Callithrix jacchus: one gene and its partners. The protein of the gene in region 3 interacts with the protein of the main gene of each other region in a pairwise test. Links are inferred from orthologs where the notes say so. Each region holds a gene or a part of one and is shown on either strand. Other genes may lie near its edges. The genes, in order: MAPK8IP1, MAPK8IP2 and LRP2.

Region 1 (4,315 bases), on a different chromosome or scaffold from region 3:
CCCAGGGAAGGGGTCTGAGCACAAAAAGCTAAGAATAGTGGCCACCCCTCTGGGCCCCAAGAGCAGGGAAAAGAGAAGCAGCCACGACCTTTGGCTTTGGGTATTGGGATATTGAGTCTGGAGCTGGGGGGTTGCCTTCTGCAAGGAAGGTGCCTTCTGCTCCTTGCTGGGTGCTACACTGAGGGAAAGGGGCCAGCATTACCCGTCAGCCTTCCAGATACGCAAATAGGACTCCACGACTTGTGGCACAGTATGCAGGTTTTCTGTCCTGTCCTGCAGTGTGGACAGGGTCTCTAGGGTTCTCTTGAGGGACCAGAGAAGCCAATAAGGTTTGCCCAGAGGCTCCATGACCCACCAAAGCTGGAGGCCTAGTCCATACTCTGTGAAATGACTCAATCAGGGAACACAGGGCCTTGAAGGCCTGGAAGCTCAGGCTTAACACCCTCTTGGGGGAGAGACAATGAGGAAGAAACCATGGCCAAAGCCTAGCAGGGATGGAGGTGCCAGAGGGAACAGAAAGAACCAAAATGATCCCAAGAAGTCAACAGTGGGAGCAGAGGGAAAAGCCCCAAGTCTTAGAATGTGAGTCTGTGGGTGCAGAGGAGGGGTGCTCTGCAGGAAATGCAGTTGAGGCGCTAAGAAGGAGAATGCTGGGAAGGTCCTGGGGTGAAGGAGGAGGTGCTGAGAGACTGAAAAGGCTGGAGGGCTCAATTCACCACAAGTAGCTGTTAGGGGCTGAAGAGAGGCTTGCATCAATCTTTAGAGAGGGCAGCCTCTAGGGAGAGTCTTTGGCAGGGTCCCCTCAAGGTAAAGGGACAGGACTGGGGTGAGGCCTGGATCCCGGTGCAGGAGGTGGAGTGTTTCCAGGTCTTAGTAGCAACACATTTGTGTTACGTTACATCCTCACAACCATGAGAGGGGCCGTTATTGTCCCATTTCACAGGTAAGAAGACCACACCTTAGTCCTCTTTAGTCACTAATGCAAGGCCCCAATGCCCAATCACTTGTGGAGCCAGAGAATTCACACCACCCAACTCCAAACCTGTACACTCTAAGAACCCACTGATATCCTCTCCTTTTTCTGCCTTCCTCCACGACCCTCCTTTTTCGTCTACCTTCTTGGTCTCTGCTGCGGGGGCCAAACCTGGACCTTGGGGTCCAGGGTCCTGCCATTAGTTATCTGATACCCGAGCGCTAAGCTCACCCGGAGGGACAAAGCCCACACCAGCCACTGGGGACCTTGAGGGGTAGAGGAGAGTCAGTGTCGGATTTAGGGCGGGGCTGAGCCAAGCCCAGGGCCGCGGGTCCGTGGCTTCAGCACCGCGGAGAGCGCCATCTCCGGGGGCGGGGCTGTCGGGACAGGGGCGGGGAAAGGGCGGGGCGCTCGAGACCCCGGCCGGGGCCCAGGGGCGCGCGCCGGGCGCTCTAGCCAGTCCCGCTAGCCGTGCGCGGCGCGGAGCCGCGCCTTGCCAGACACAGGTGCGCCCGCCCAGCCCGCCCAGCCCGAGCCCCGCGGCGGCGGCGGCGGCGGCGGCGGCGGCTGCCCCCTCGCCGCGCCTCCGCCTCCTTCGCCGCCGTCGCCTCCTCCGCGCCGCGCTCCGCCCGGATGGCCAGGGCTGTGCCCGAGAATGGCGGAGCGAGAAAGCGGCGGCCTGGGCGGGGGTGCTGCGTCCCCGCCCGCCGCCTCCCCGTTCCTGGGGCTGCACATCGCGTCTCCTCCCAATTTCAGGTGAGAGTCCCCGGCCGCCGCGCGCCTCGCCCTTCAGCGGGACTGATCCTCCTGGGCTGTCCCTGGCCGCCCCCTACCCCAGAACCTCGGGAACCCGGGAACGAGAGGACGGCGTGGGGATGGGGTATCTTCCCGGGACAGAGTCCCCCAGAAGCCCCGCCAGCCTCATGCTCGGACTGGTAGTCGCTGCAGGTTCACGGGGCCGCTCCCTCCGCCATTCCTGGTCCTAGGCCGGGAGGTCTGCGCTGGAATTGGAGGAGGGGGCTCGGAGGCTGCCTTCTTTCCCACCTCCGGGCTGGGCTGCAGCAGGGTCTGGGATCCGGGTTGTGATCCCTGAGCGGGCAGGCGGGCTGCATCTTAGCCTTTGCCCAGTCGGAAGATTTCTGAATAGGGCTGGGAACAGCCTGGGCGGGGCGGGGAGGGGCGGGGGGGGGGGGTCGCGGGTCGCAGTTTCCTGGGGGCAACGTTGTTGTTGGTGCTGGGAGGACGGCGTCTTGGGCCCCTGCCTGCCCAGATGGGCCTACCTGTCATGTCCGCCATGGCCAGGCCCCTCTCTGGATTGAGCAGCACCGACCTGGGCAGGTGTGTCTCTCAGGGCAGGCGCTGAAGGCTCAGCCTCAACCTGGGGAATCCTAGGCCCGGCTGTGGGAAGGGAAGTCGGCCAGGGAGTAGCCAGGGCCAGCGGGGGTGTCAGGGGTCCCTGCTGGAGTAAATACCCAGAACCCTGACCTAAGCTCCCATTCCACCCCTCCCACCGCCCCCCACCAGCCTGGTGTTAGGTCTGATGTGTTTCAGAGAAGTGAAGGGTGACTGTGTGGAGGAGGAATAGATATACCTCCCCCATAATTCTGACCCCTAGTTGGTGGGGAGGAAGAGGCAGATGTCACTGCTCCCCACCTAGAGAGGGAGGCTTAGACATACCCCATTGTTTCCCCATCTCAAGAGCTGGCGCCTTCCCCTCTCCTGGGGCCCCACCCCAGCCAGGCTCCAGCTGGGCTGTGGCGCCAGCCCCTCCTGGGAGCAAGGGGTCACTGGCTCCCAGGTCCTCAGGTGGACAGAGACCCCTGGGGATCTCTAATGGCATCATCAAACCCAGAAACCTCCCCCAAGACCCTGAGCTGAGCCGGGAGGACCAGAGGGGGCCAGATGGAGGAGACCAGGCCTGAAGGCTCCAGGGCTGCAGCTCTCTGATAATGCCTTCGACTCACAGGCTGAGGTCTGAGACTCCACCTGGCGTGGCGCACAAGGCCTCCATGCAAACACTGCCTCCCCACCTGGAGGCCTCTCTGCAGTGGAAGCACATAGTGCTTATAAGGACCTGGGTTCAAATCCTAGCTCCACTATCCAACTGCATGACCCAGGCAGGGTTTTGTCCACTGAGTGCCATCTGTTAAGTGGGCCGATTAATATTGATTCCTGCCTGGAAAGGAGAAAAAGCAGAGCAGGTCAGTGTTCAGCAAGGGCCAGCCCGGACACTAGCAGACTGCTACAGCTCGCTGCTATCCAGAGTGTCCTCCCAAGGCCACTCTCTTGATCCTCATAACCACCCGAGAGAAGGTAATGGTCCTCCCATTTTATAGACAAGGTGATTGAGATGAACAAAGGCAGAGTGGCTTGCTAGGGACTCCAAAATAGTAAGAGGCTGAGGCCACAGTGGGACCCAGGTCTGTGCATGTTCAGTCCACTCTGCCTCCCCGCCCTGCCTCCGGCCTAGAGGGCAGCTTTTCCTCCCCGACCTGCTTCCCCAGGTGTCATGAATGCTTTAGTGAGAGGAGCTGAGGAAACGGATACCAGCTAGTGAGTGTGTGGCCAGCTCTCGCCACATGGGACAAGGGTGGCAGTAGGCCAGGAGGTTGAAGCGTGGGTCGGCCCTCCAGGACATCGTGGCCTGGCTGCAGAGACAAGGCCAGCATGTGGGAATAATACGGGTCAGTGTCTCAGGCCCTGCTGACCTGCCCTGCTGTTCCTGCAGCCCCCACTGCCCTTTCTCCTGGCCCGCCTCTCACTATGCTTGACCCAGCTCCACTTAACCCTGGGTGGGTGGGTAGTGCTTTCCTGTGGCTCTTTGGTGGTGTCATGGATCCAACTGGCCTGGGCTTGAATCCTGACTGGGCCTTCTTAGCTGTGTGCCTTTACACTGGACACTTAAGCTCTCTGAGCCTCCAAGATGCCAGCGCTGGCCCCTGCTCAGGATGGTCCTGTGAATCAGATGAGATAACACGTGTTGAGTGTTTCAAGGGCTGAGGAGAGCCACAGGTAGGCAGGGCTGTGTGTGTGTGTGTGTTTATGTGTGTGTGTGCAACTTGACCCCCAGTGCCACTGTCAGCTCCCAGAAGACACAGGGGATCTGTACCCAAACTTTGGTATCTCCATTGCTCAGCACACGATAGGTACTCAACGGTGGTAAGCGCTGACATTTGGAAGGCACTCAGTTCGCCCAGGCACCATTCTAAGAGTTTCCTGTGTGCAAGAGTATTTACTCTTCACAATAACGATATCAACAGAGCATTGTTATTATCCACACTTGCATGAGGAAACTGAGGCAGAGGGAGGTTACGTAAGTGGCAGAGCTGGTAAGTGGCAGGC
Region 2 (3,643 bases), on a different chromosome or scaffold from region 3:
AGGTAGAGCCACTTCCCCATCCCTGTCGCCTGCTGTTTTTCCAGGCTGGCCATCCTGAGCCCCAGGAGGACTGGCCCACCTCTGGGGGTCTGCTCCCCAGGGCCCACTCAGGCATGCTCCATACCCAAAGCAGCTGCTCATGTCCTTTGCCCGTGTGTCTCTCTCCACCCAGACCAGATGCAAGCCCGTCTGACCTGCACCTCCCGAGTCCAGCTCAGAGTGGACATCACTGCATGCTCAGCTCACAGAGCCAGGTGGGTGCAGGTGGAGCTCTTGGGGTCGGGTATGAGCAGCCCTCAGGGTTTGTGGGGACTCTGGGGGACGGTTAGGCTCTCACCAGCTGTTGCGGGGGTGGCAGCCGCAGAATGAGATGTTCTTCATCTGGAAGAAATGGCTGCAGCGCTGGAACTAGAGCAGAAGGGGCAGGAGCCCGTGTCAGAAAGGCCTGGGGCCACTCCTGCCTCCTGCCTGCTGGATGCCCCTGCCAGCCCGGCCCTGTCAGACTCCTCAGCCTTACCCTACCCCCCGACCCCAGTCCCCCACACCCCCACCTCGGGGCCTCCTCCACTCAGACTCAGCTTGACTCCCCGAAGAGAGATCTCGAGGTCACAGGAGGCAGGAGGGCGCAGGTGGACGGTCAGTTTCCGGGCAGTGGCGATCTAAGGAAGAAGTTGGGGGAGAAGAGGGTCTTGAGGAGCCCACAAGGGCCACTTTCTTTCCCCTTGGTGGGACTATGCCTCTGCTCCTTTTAGCTTATGTTCACAGACACTCCTGTTAAGGACCCCTGAGATGCAATTCTGGAAGATATAGGGGGTGGGCTTGGCCACTCCTCAGGCTCAGGAGGAGCGGTCACCTCTCTGCAGTCAGCTTGCTTCATCTTCCCTCTGCTCCTCTAGGCAGACTGCTGCGCTTGGCTCAGGAGCCAGGAACACAGACCCCACCCACCCTGGCCTCTTCACTGCCTGCCCCATGAGTGAGTTGGAGCTCTCAGATGCAGGGCTGGTCTGCTCTGCTCCCTACAGCCCCCAGCCTCAGTCTCAGGACTGCTGGATGGGCAGGTGCTCACTAATGTCCACTGAGTAGATGACTCTCAGGGAAGGGGCTGTGAGAGCTGGTCTCAATTTCAGACAGGAAGAGGAAGGGCTGATGGCAGTGCCTGGAAGGTCTGTGGCCCAGAGACCCAGAGGTGATGAGGGAGAGTTGCTGAGCTCTGTCCTGGACTCACCTGCTCAGGCCTCTGAACCAGGGCCTGGGGCACCCACCCTGAGCTGCCCTCCCTGTAGGAAGTCGAGGCCCTGTGCCAGCCTGTGGTGCTGGTGTGGCTGCCATGCGGACCCTCAGCCTGTACTTGCCTGGCCTCCACACTGACCTTCTGCATGGCTGCACACAGGATGCCGTTTCCCTGGTGACAGGGCACCTCCACAGAGCCCAGGAACTGCACATCGAAGCGCTCCACCCAGCAGGGGCTCCGTTTGCTCCCTGGGAGGCACAGAGGGCCCAGGTCAGTCAGGGGCAGAGCATCTGGGGTGACAAGCCATCCCTCAGGGTTGGGGCCTCACCCAGCAGGTCCTTGGCAGGGCCAGGCACCGCATGGGCGTAGAAGGCGGGGAACACCCCTCGCTCCCCTGTGCGCATGTTGAAGCCTCGGAACCAGAAGTCATCCTCCTCCGCCTCCACCAACACAGGGTCATCCACATCCAGCTCCAGCTCGTCTGGATGCCGTGGGATGAACCTGCCATTGGGAGACAGGTCACTGGGGAGGCAGGCAGGGCTGAGGGTCATGTCCACTGGTGTCCTGTGATGCCACGGACTGAGGCTGGGGCCACTACCAGCAAGGAGGGAGGCTGTACCTGAACACAGCCCGGTGCGTCTGCTCTCGCTCCTCACCGTTGACCAGACAGGAGAAAAGGCCAAAGGACTCGGTGCCTGAGAGATGCGGCAGGACAGAGGTGGGGGGCACGCGAAGACAGAGGCAGCAAGGCAGAGTGGGGGAAGGAAGGTGCTTAAAGGCCTGGCCTTGGGCAGAGGCCAAATCCCCTCCCCTCTGCAGTCTGATGTGGGTGTCCTGGGAGGGGAAAGGGACTGAGGCAGAGCAGGCCACCTCTTACCATGTCCTGGGTGGGAGAGTGTGGCCAGCCCTGACCACGGCCAGACCCTCAGGTGGCCCAGACTTGACCATGGCCAGACCCTCAGGTGGCCCTGGGAACTGTGGGGCACCTGTGGGACTAGGGCGAGGGAGTGCAGATATTCCTCGGGCCACCCCCATTTTACCCGCCTCTCACTCACTGGAGGACCTAGATGTGCTGTTGACGAAGACATTGAGGAACTTCTTGGAGAAAGTGAGGTCAGGGCTGTCGGGCGAGGAGTCCCCCGGGACCTGACTGCCGCCTAGCAGCGCAGCGCCTGCCTCCTCCTCACTGGCCTCCCCGCCGCTGTCCTCCTCGCTGTCGTGGCCCAGGCCGGCGCAGCGCCTCAGGCTCACCAGCTCCAGCTGCGTGTGCTCGTCCACCACCAGCGTGTACTTGACAGCGTCGTACACCAGTGAGGCGTCCCGCGGTGCTGAGGGGCCGGTACCCCTGCCCCCAGGGGGGCCCACACTGTCCTCGGCCTCCTCCTCATCTTCGTCGTCCTCTTCGTCCTCCTCCTCGGAGCAGGCGGCAGAGCAGGCTCGGCCGGGGCGGGCGGCGCGGCCGGGCGCGGCCCACAGCGGCGTGATGGTGTCGCGCGTGGGGTTGCTGAGGAACAGGCAGGGCCCGGGCTGCGCCGGGCCGGGCCGAGGCGCGGCGGGTGCGGGCGGCGGCGGCGCGCACAGCGTCTCCATGTCCACCAGCTCCACACCGCCGGGCCCCGTGGCCGCCTCGGGGTCCTGGGAGTCCTGGGCGACCCCGCCGGCCGGAGACACGGGCTCCCCGGGCTGGCGCTGCGCAGGAGACAGGCACTGGCTGGGGCAGCGAATGGGCGAGGAGCCCTCGGAGATCATGCGGCTCACCAGGTTGCTGAGCAGCCAGGGCGAGTCCGCGTCCTCGCTGAGGTCCGGCTCCGACTCAGACCCCGACTCGTACTCGCTGTTGGTGTCGTCGGGGCCCACGGGCAGGAAGGCGGGGCGGCGCGGGGGTTCGCGCAGGGGCTCCGGCTCCGGCTCGGGCTCCGGCTCCGAGGCGGGCGACGAGGCCTCCTCGATGGAGTTGGTGAGGTGCGAGGAGCGGCCGCTGCTGCTGCTCCCGCCATCGCTGCTCAGCTCCAGCTCGGTCTCCGAGATGGACGAGATCATGCGCCCCAGGCGCGCGCCGCCCGCGTCCTCCGAGTCGGAGCCCGGCGAGGACAGCTCCTGGCTGCTGCGACGTCCCCCGTGGCCCCCGCTCGAGCGGCTTCTCAGGTCAGCCTCGATGCCGGGATCTGAGGAGGGCGAAGTCCCCCCTGGCGCCGGGGGCTCCGCAGGCTGGTTCCCTTCGCAGTCGCAACCAGGGCGCACCGGCGACTGCGCCCCGCCAGGCCCTGCATCCGTGGGAGGGAGGGGGCCAGGGAGCTCTGCTGGGCGGGGAGGTGGGGTCACCCTCTCACTAAGATCCAGACCTCTTCCAGCAGCCAGCCCATCCTCCCTCCCCTCCTTCCGCGCTTCCCGGTGCCCCGCGGGCCCACCACC
Region 3 (3,643 bases):
CCCGATGGACATAGGCATTTAGCCCCAAAGGGCTCTTGAACACACTCGTGAGTACAACCACCATTGAAATCTGAGCAGCTGTTCTGGTCTAGAAAAAAGAAAGAAAATAATGAAAAAAGAAAATCAAGAATCTATGCTTCTTTAATTCATTCTTATACAATAGTTATCATGCAGTATCATGCCACCTTCAATATGATGCCCAGACAAGAACTAAGTTCAGCATTCACTTGGATGAGCTCTGCAGGCTATTAAGGGTTTGCTCTGATTTGCCTGAGGATTTACCATCCTTCCTATCCATTGGAATACAATTGCCTTCTTCACTACAGCCTGATAGTATAACTCCATTTATATAATTGAGAGTCCTTGGGAAAATATTGTAGACATCAGGGAAGAAGTGTCATTAATAGAGCATGCAAAGAGACTTAAAATTGTTTCTCATTTTCTTCCTCTGAATTCTTCTATCCATACAGAAATTTAAGAGAAAAGACTAGAAAATCTATGAAGTGAATAAAGGGGAAAGGTCATTGAAACATTAGAGTACACAGATCCACTAACACACCATCATGCCTTACTTTCAGAGCCAAAATGAAAATGCCTAAAGTCATTCTAAGACAATTCACATGTGTACTCTAACATATTTGCAAGAGTCATAAGACAGAACATGCATTAGAAAGGGAAGTAAGTTAATATAATCAGGACATTTTCAGAACAAATGCAACACATACGATAAGAATCTGAAATACTTCACAATCATACCTGGCTGGGGTTCATCTGAGAGTGAGCATTGATTAAAGGGGAAAGAAAGAAATGACAGTAATTAGGACCACATGCCAATCACAGCATTTTAATCACAGCAACACAAATCCCTGGACTTAATTTTTTTTTGTTACAAGTTCTGATTGAAATTAGAAAATATTAAAGATAGAAAAATTAATGAGCACATTACCAAGAGAACCAAATTTAATTTGACACTCTAATTCCCTCAATTTAGTCTTATTTTTTTAAACAAAGACATAAAAAGAAGTAAAAACACATAACCAAGTGCAAAGAATTTAATCAGAAAATTATCCAATGGTGATGTATTTTAATTCAATTATGGTTACCCCCTACACAAATGTGAACTCATAGAGGAACTGAAATCCCTTCCTAAAAATCTACACAGTGACTGAAAATGGTGATGCACACCAAGCTACTGTTCAGAATGAGTTTATGGTCAGTAAACTGTGGTCAGGAAACTTACTGCAAAGTGGGGACTCATCTGTCCCATTGGGGCAGTCAAAGGTGCCATCACATACTACACTCAGATTCACACAGATGTTATGGCCAAGACACTGCCATTGCCAACTAGGACAGCGAAAGGGCTGTGTAGGGCAGTCTTTCTCATCACTCATATCCCCGCAGTCATTGTCCCGATCACAGAGCCACGCCCTGTGGATGCAGTTTCCGTTATCACAGAGGAAATATGACGAAGGGCAAGTCTTGGGGACACAGGCATTGTGTTCATCAGATCCAGAGAGGCAGTCCGGATGCCCATCACACTCCCAGAACTTCGGGATGCAGTCACCATCTTCTTGACACTGAAATTCATCTGAGTGGCACATACCAGGAGGCCTGGTGGCTAGAAGGAAAACATGTGGGAAATGGGCCTGTGAATGTAATTCATGATCCCTTTTAAAACCTAGACTCAGAGGAAATGATTTTGGATCCAATAGTAGGTTTATAGTAACAACTATGACAAAATTAATACTGAAAGCTAAATAATACAGAGTCTTCTCCTGCATAGTTAGTATAGAAATATTTCTGTGTAGCAACTGGTGGATTTGACAACAAAGTACAGGATGCACACTGCTGACTAGAAGGTAAGTATCTGTGTCAAAGGAACATTCTGGGCCAGGCACAGTGGCTCACGCCTGTAATCCCAGCACTCTGGGAGGCCGAGGCAGGAGGATCACAAGGTCTGGAGATTGAGACCATCCTGGCCAACATGGTGAAACCCCATCTCTACTAAAAATACAAAAATTAGCTGGGTGTGGTGGTGCGTACCTGTAGTCCCAGCTACTCAAGAGGCTGAGACAGGAGAATCGCTTAAACCTGGGAGGCGGAGGTTGCAGTGAGCCACGATTGTGCCACTGCACTCCAGCCTGGCGACAGAGCAAGGCTCTGTCAAAAAAAAAAAACAAAAAAAAAGAACATTGTTTCTTATGTTTCTAATATTCTTCCAACTGCAGATTCAACAATAAAATTTATCTTTCTATGAAAGAATCGCCAGAACATTGTAATACAGCTTACATAGCTATGGTTACTTTGAACTTTACGTGTTTAATAACATGTTTGGGTGTTATTATTTTCCCTCAAATGAACTATACCCAATGAAACCAGCACACACTAAGTAAACTAAAGGTGATGGTAAATACTTAATTCTTTGCAAACTTTCCACTATGCATTGAGCAGTCCTGGAGAGATAGGTAAGCACTGCTTCCCTTTTCACAGGGGTAAACCGAAACTCTCTCCCAGGGATCTCACAAGGCAACAGCAAGCCAGCAGCAATTGACAGTTTAACCTCAACTCATCACAGAATTTTATGTTTTCAATGGAATACAGGAAAATTGGTGATTAGGAATTTTTAGATGCTGTGAAAACTATAAAGTACATAAGCATTTCATTTAACTTTTCTTTTGAATCCCTGGCTTTATACACTACCTTCTGACTTGGGAGGAAAATTCATGAAAACCTACTTTTCAAGGTCTGAAACACCATTGTTCAAACCAATGTTCAACTCACTGATGAGTTTTTGCAAGTCTCAAATCCATTTAACACAAAAGGTGAGCAAATAACAAACCATGTGAGTATAGGCCTCCAGTCTGTGAAGATTATAGATCCATCAGAATTATTTTGTATGAAGTCCTACTTGAATCCTCCAACTAAAGAAATTTCTATTCTCTGAACCTCCATAGAATTTTATCTGTGCCATTTCCAAGACCCTTATAACTGTCTTGCTTAATTGTCTCTTGCCTTCTATAATCTCCCTTACCACAGTCTGAGGACAAAGGTCATAAATAACATCTTAGCAGATATTCAACACATAATAGCACAAAGAATAAATTTATCAGACTCAATACCAAATACAGCTCCATACCATTTCTACACCATGATTTGACCTCTCTACTGAAACTTAAAAGGAACCAGTAAAATATATTTATATGGAGTAAAGCCTCAAAAGTTTAAACCCACTAATGAGGGAAGTCCTAAGAAAAACTAAAAGTGAGGATGAAAATATCTAAGACATATTTAGCCTATCAAAAAGACTATTTGAAGTGTCCATTTATACAACCACTTGATTCACTAATTGAACATTATTTGGAAATGTCTACTCAATTTTACTGTATGTTCAACATTGCATTCCTTTGAGGATACTTTGTAATTCAGGCTATCTTTCCCCCAATTTGTCTGAGATAGGGAAAATTTGTGGTAATATCAATGCTGGTAAAAATGAAATGGTCCCTTTGTCTGAAACATGCTAGGTATGTGTTACTTACGACAGCCTGCTTCATCCGAGTTGTCACTGCAGTCAAAAACACCATCACAATGTTTTGTGATGCTAATACATTTATCCCCACTGCCACACTTGAATTGAGAAGCAGTA

The links.
Region 1: the proteins of LRP2 (region 3) and MAPK8IP1 interact in a two-hybrid assay, tested with the Homo sapiens proteins (2 studies listed by BioGRID). The link is inferred for Callithrix jacchus from reciprocal best matches to the Homo sapiens genes LRP2 and MAPK8IP1.
Region 2: the proteins of LRP2 (region 3) and MAPK8IP2 interact in a two-hybrid assay, tested with the Homo sapiens proteins (2 studies listed by BioGRID). The link is inferred for Callithrix jacchus from reciprocal best matches to the Homo sapiens genes LRP2 and MAPK8IP2.

The regions. Positions count from the first base shown.
Region 1 is NC_133511.1:110,908,716-110,913,030, forward strand, and holds the start of MAPK8IP1 (C-Jun-amino-terminal kinase-interacting protein 1), read left to right. Parts: upstream 1-1,431; 5' UTR 1,432-1,628; coding exon 1,629-1,729; intron 1,730-4,315. UniProt on the Homo sapiens protein: The JNK-interacting protein (JIP) group of scaffold proteins selectively mediates JNK signaling by aggregating specific components of the MAPK cascade to form a functional JNK signaling module. Required for JNK activation in response to excitotoxic stress.
Region 2 is NC_133502.1:219,185,736-219,189,378, reverse strand, and holds part of MAPK8IP2 (C-Jun-amino-terminal kinase-interacting protein 2), read right to left. Parts: intron 3,532-3,643; coding exon 2,287-3,531; intron 1,927-2,286; coding exon 1,851-1,926; intron 1,733-1,850; coding exon 1,560-1,732; intron 1,480-1,559; coding exon 1,370-1,479; intron 660-1,369; coding exon 552-659; intron 409-551; coding exon 338-408; intron 1-337. UniProt on the Homo sapiens protein: The JNK-interacting protein (JIP) group of scaffold proteins selectively mediates JNK signaling by aggregating specific components of the MAPK cascade to form a functional JNK signaling module.
Region 3 is NC_133507.1:60,247,613-60,251,255, reverse strand, and holds part of LRP2 (low-density lipoprotein receptor-related protein 2), read right to left. Parts: coding exon 3,537-3,643; intron 1,619-3,536; coding exon 1,241-1,618; intron 89-1,240; coding exon 1-88. UniProt on the Homo sapiens protein: Multiligand endocytic receptor. Acts together with CUBN to mediate endocytosis of high-density lipoproteins. Mediates receptor-mediated uptake of polybasic drugs such as aprotinin, aminoglycosides and polymyxin B.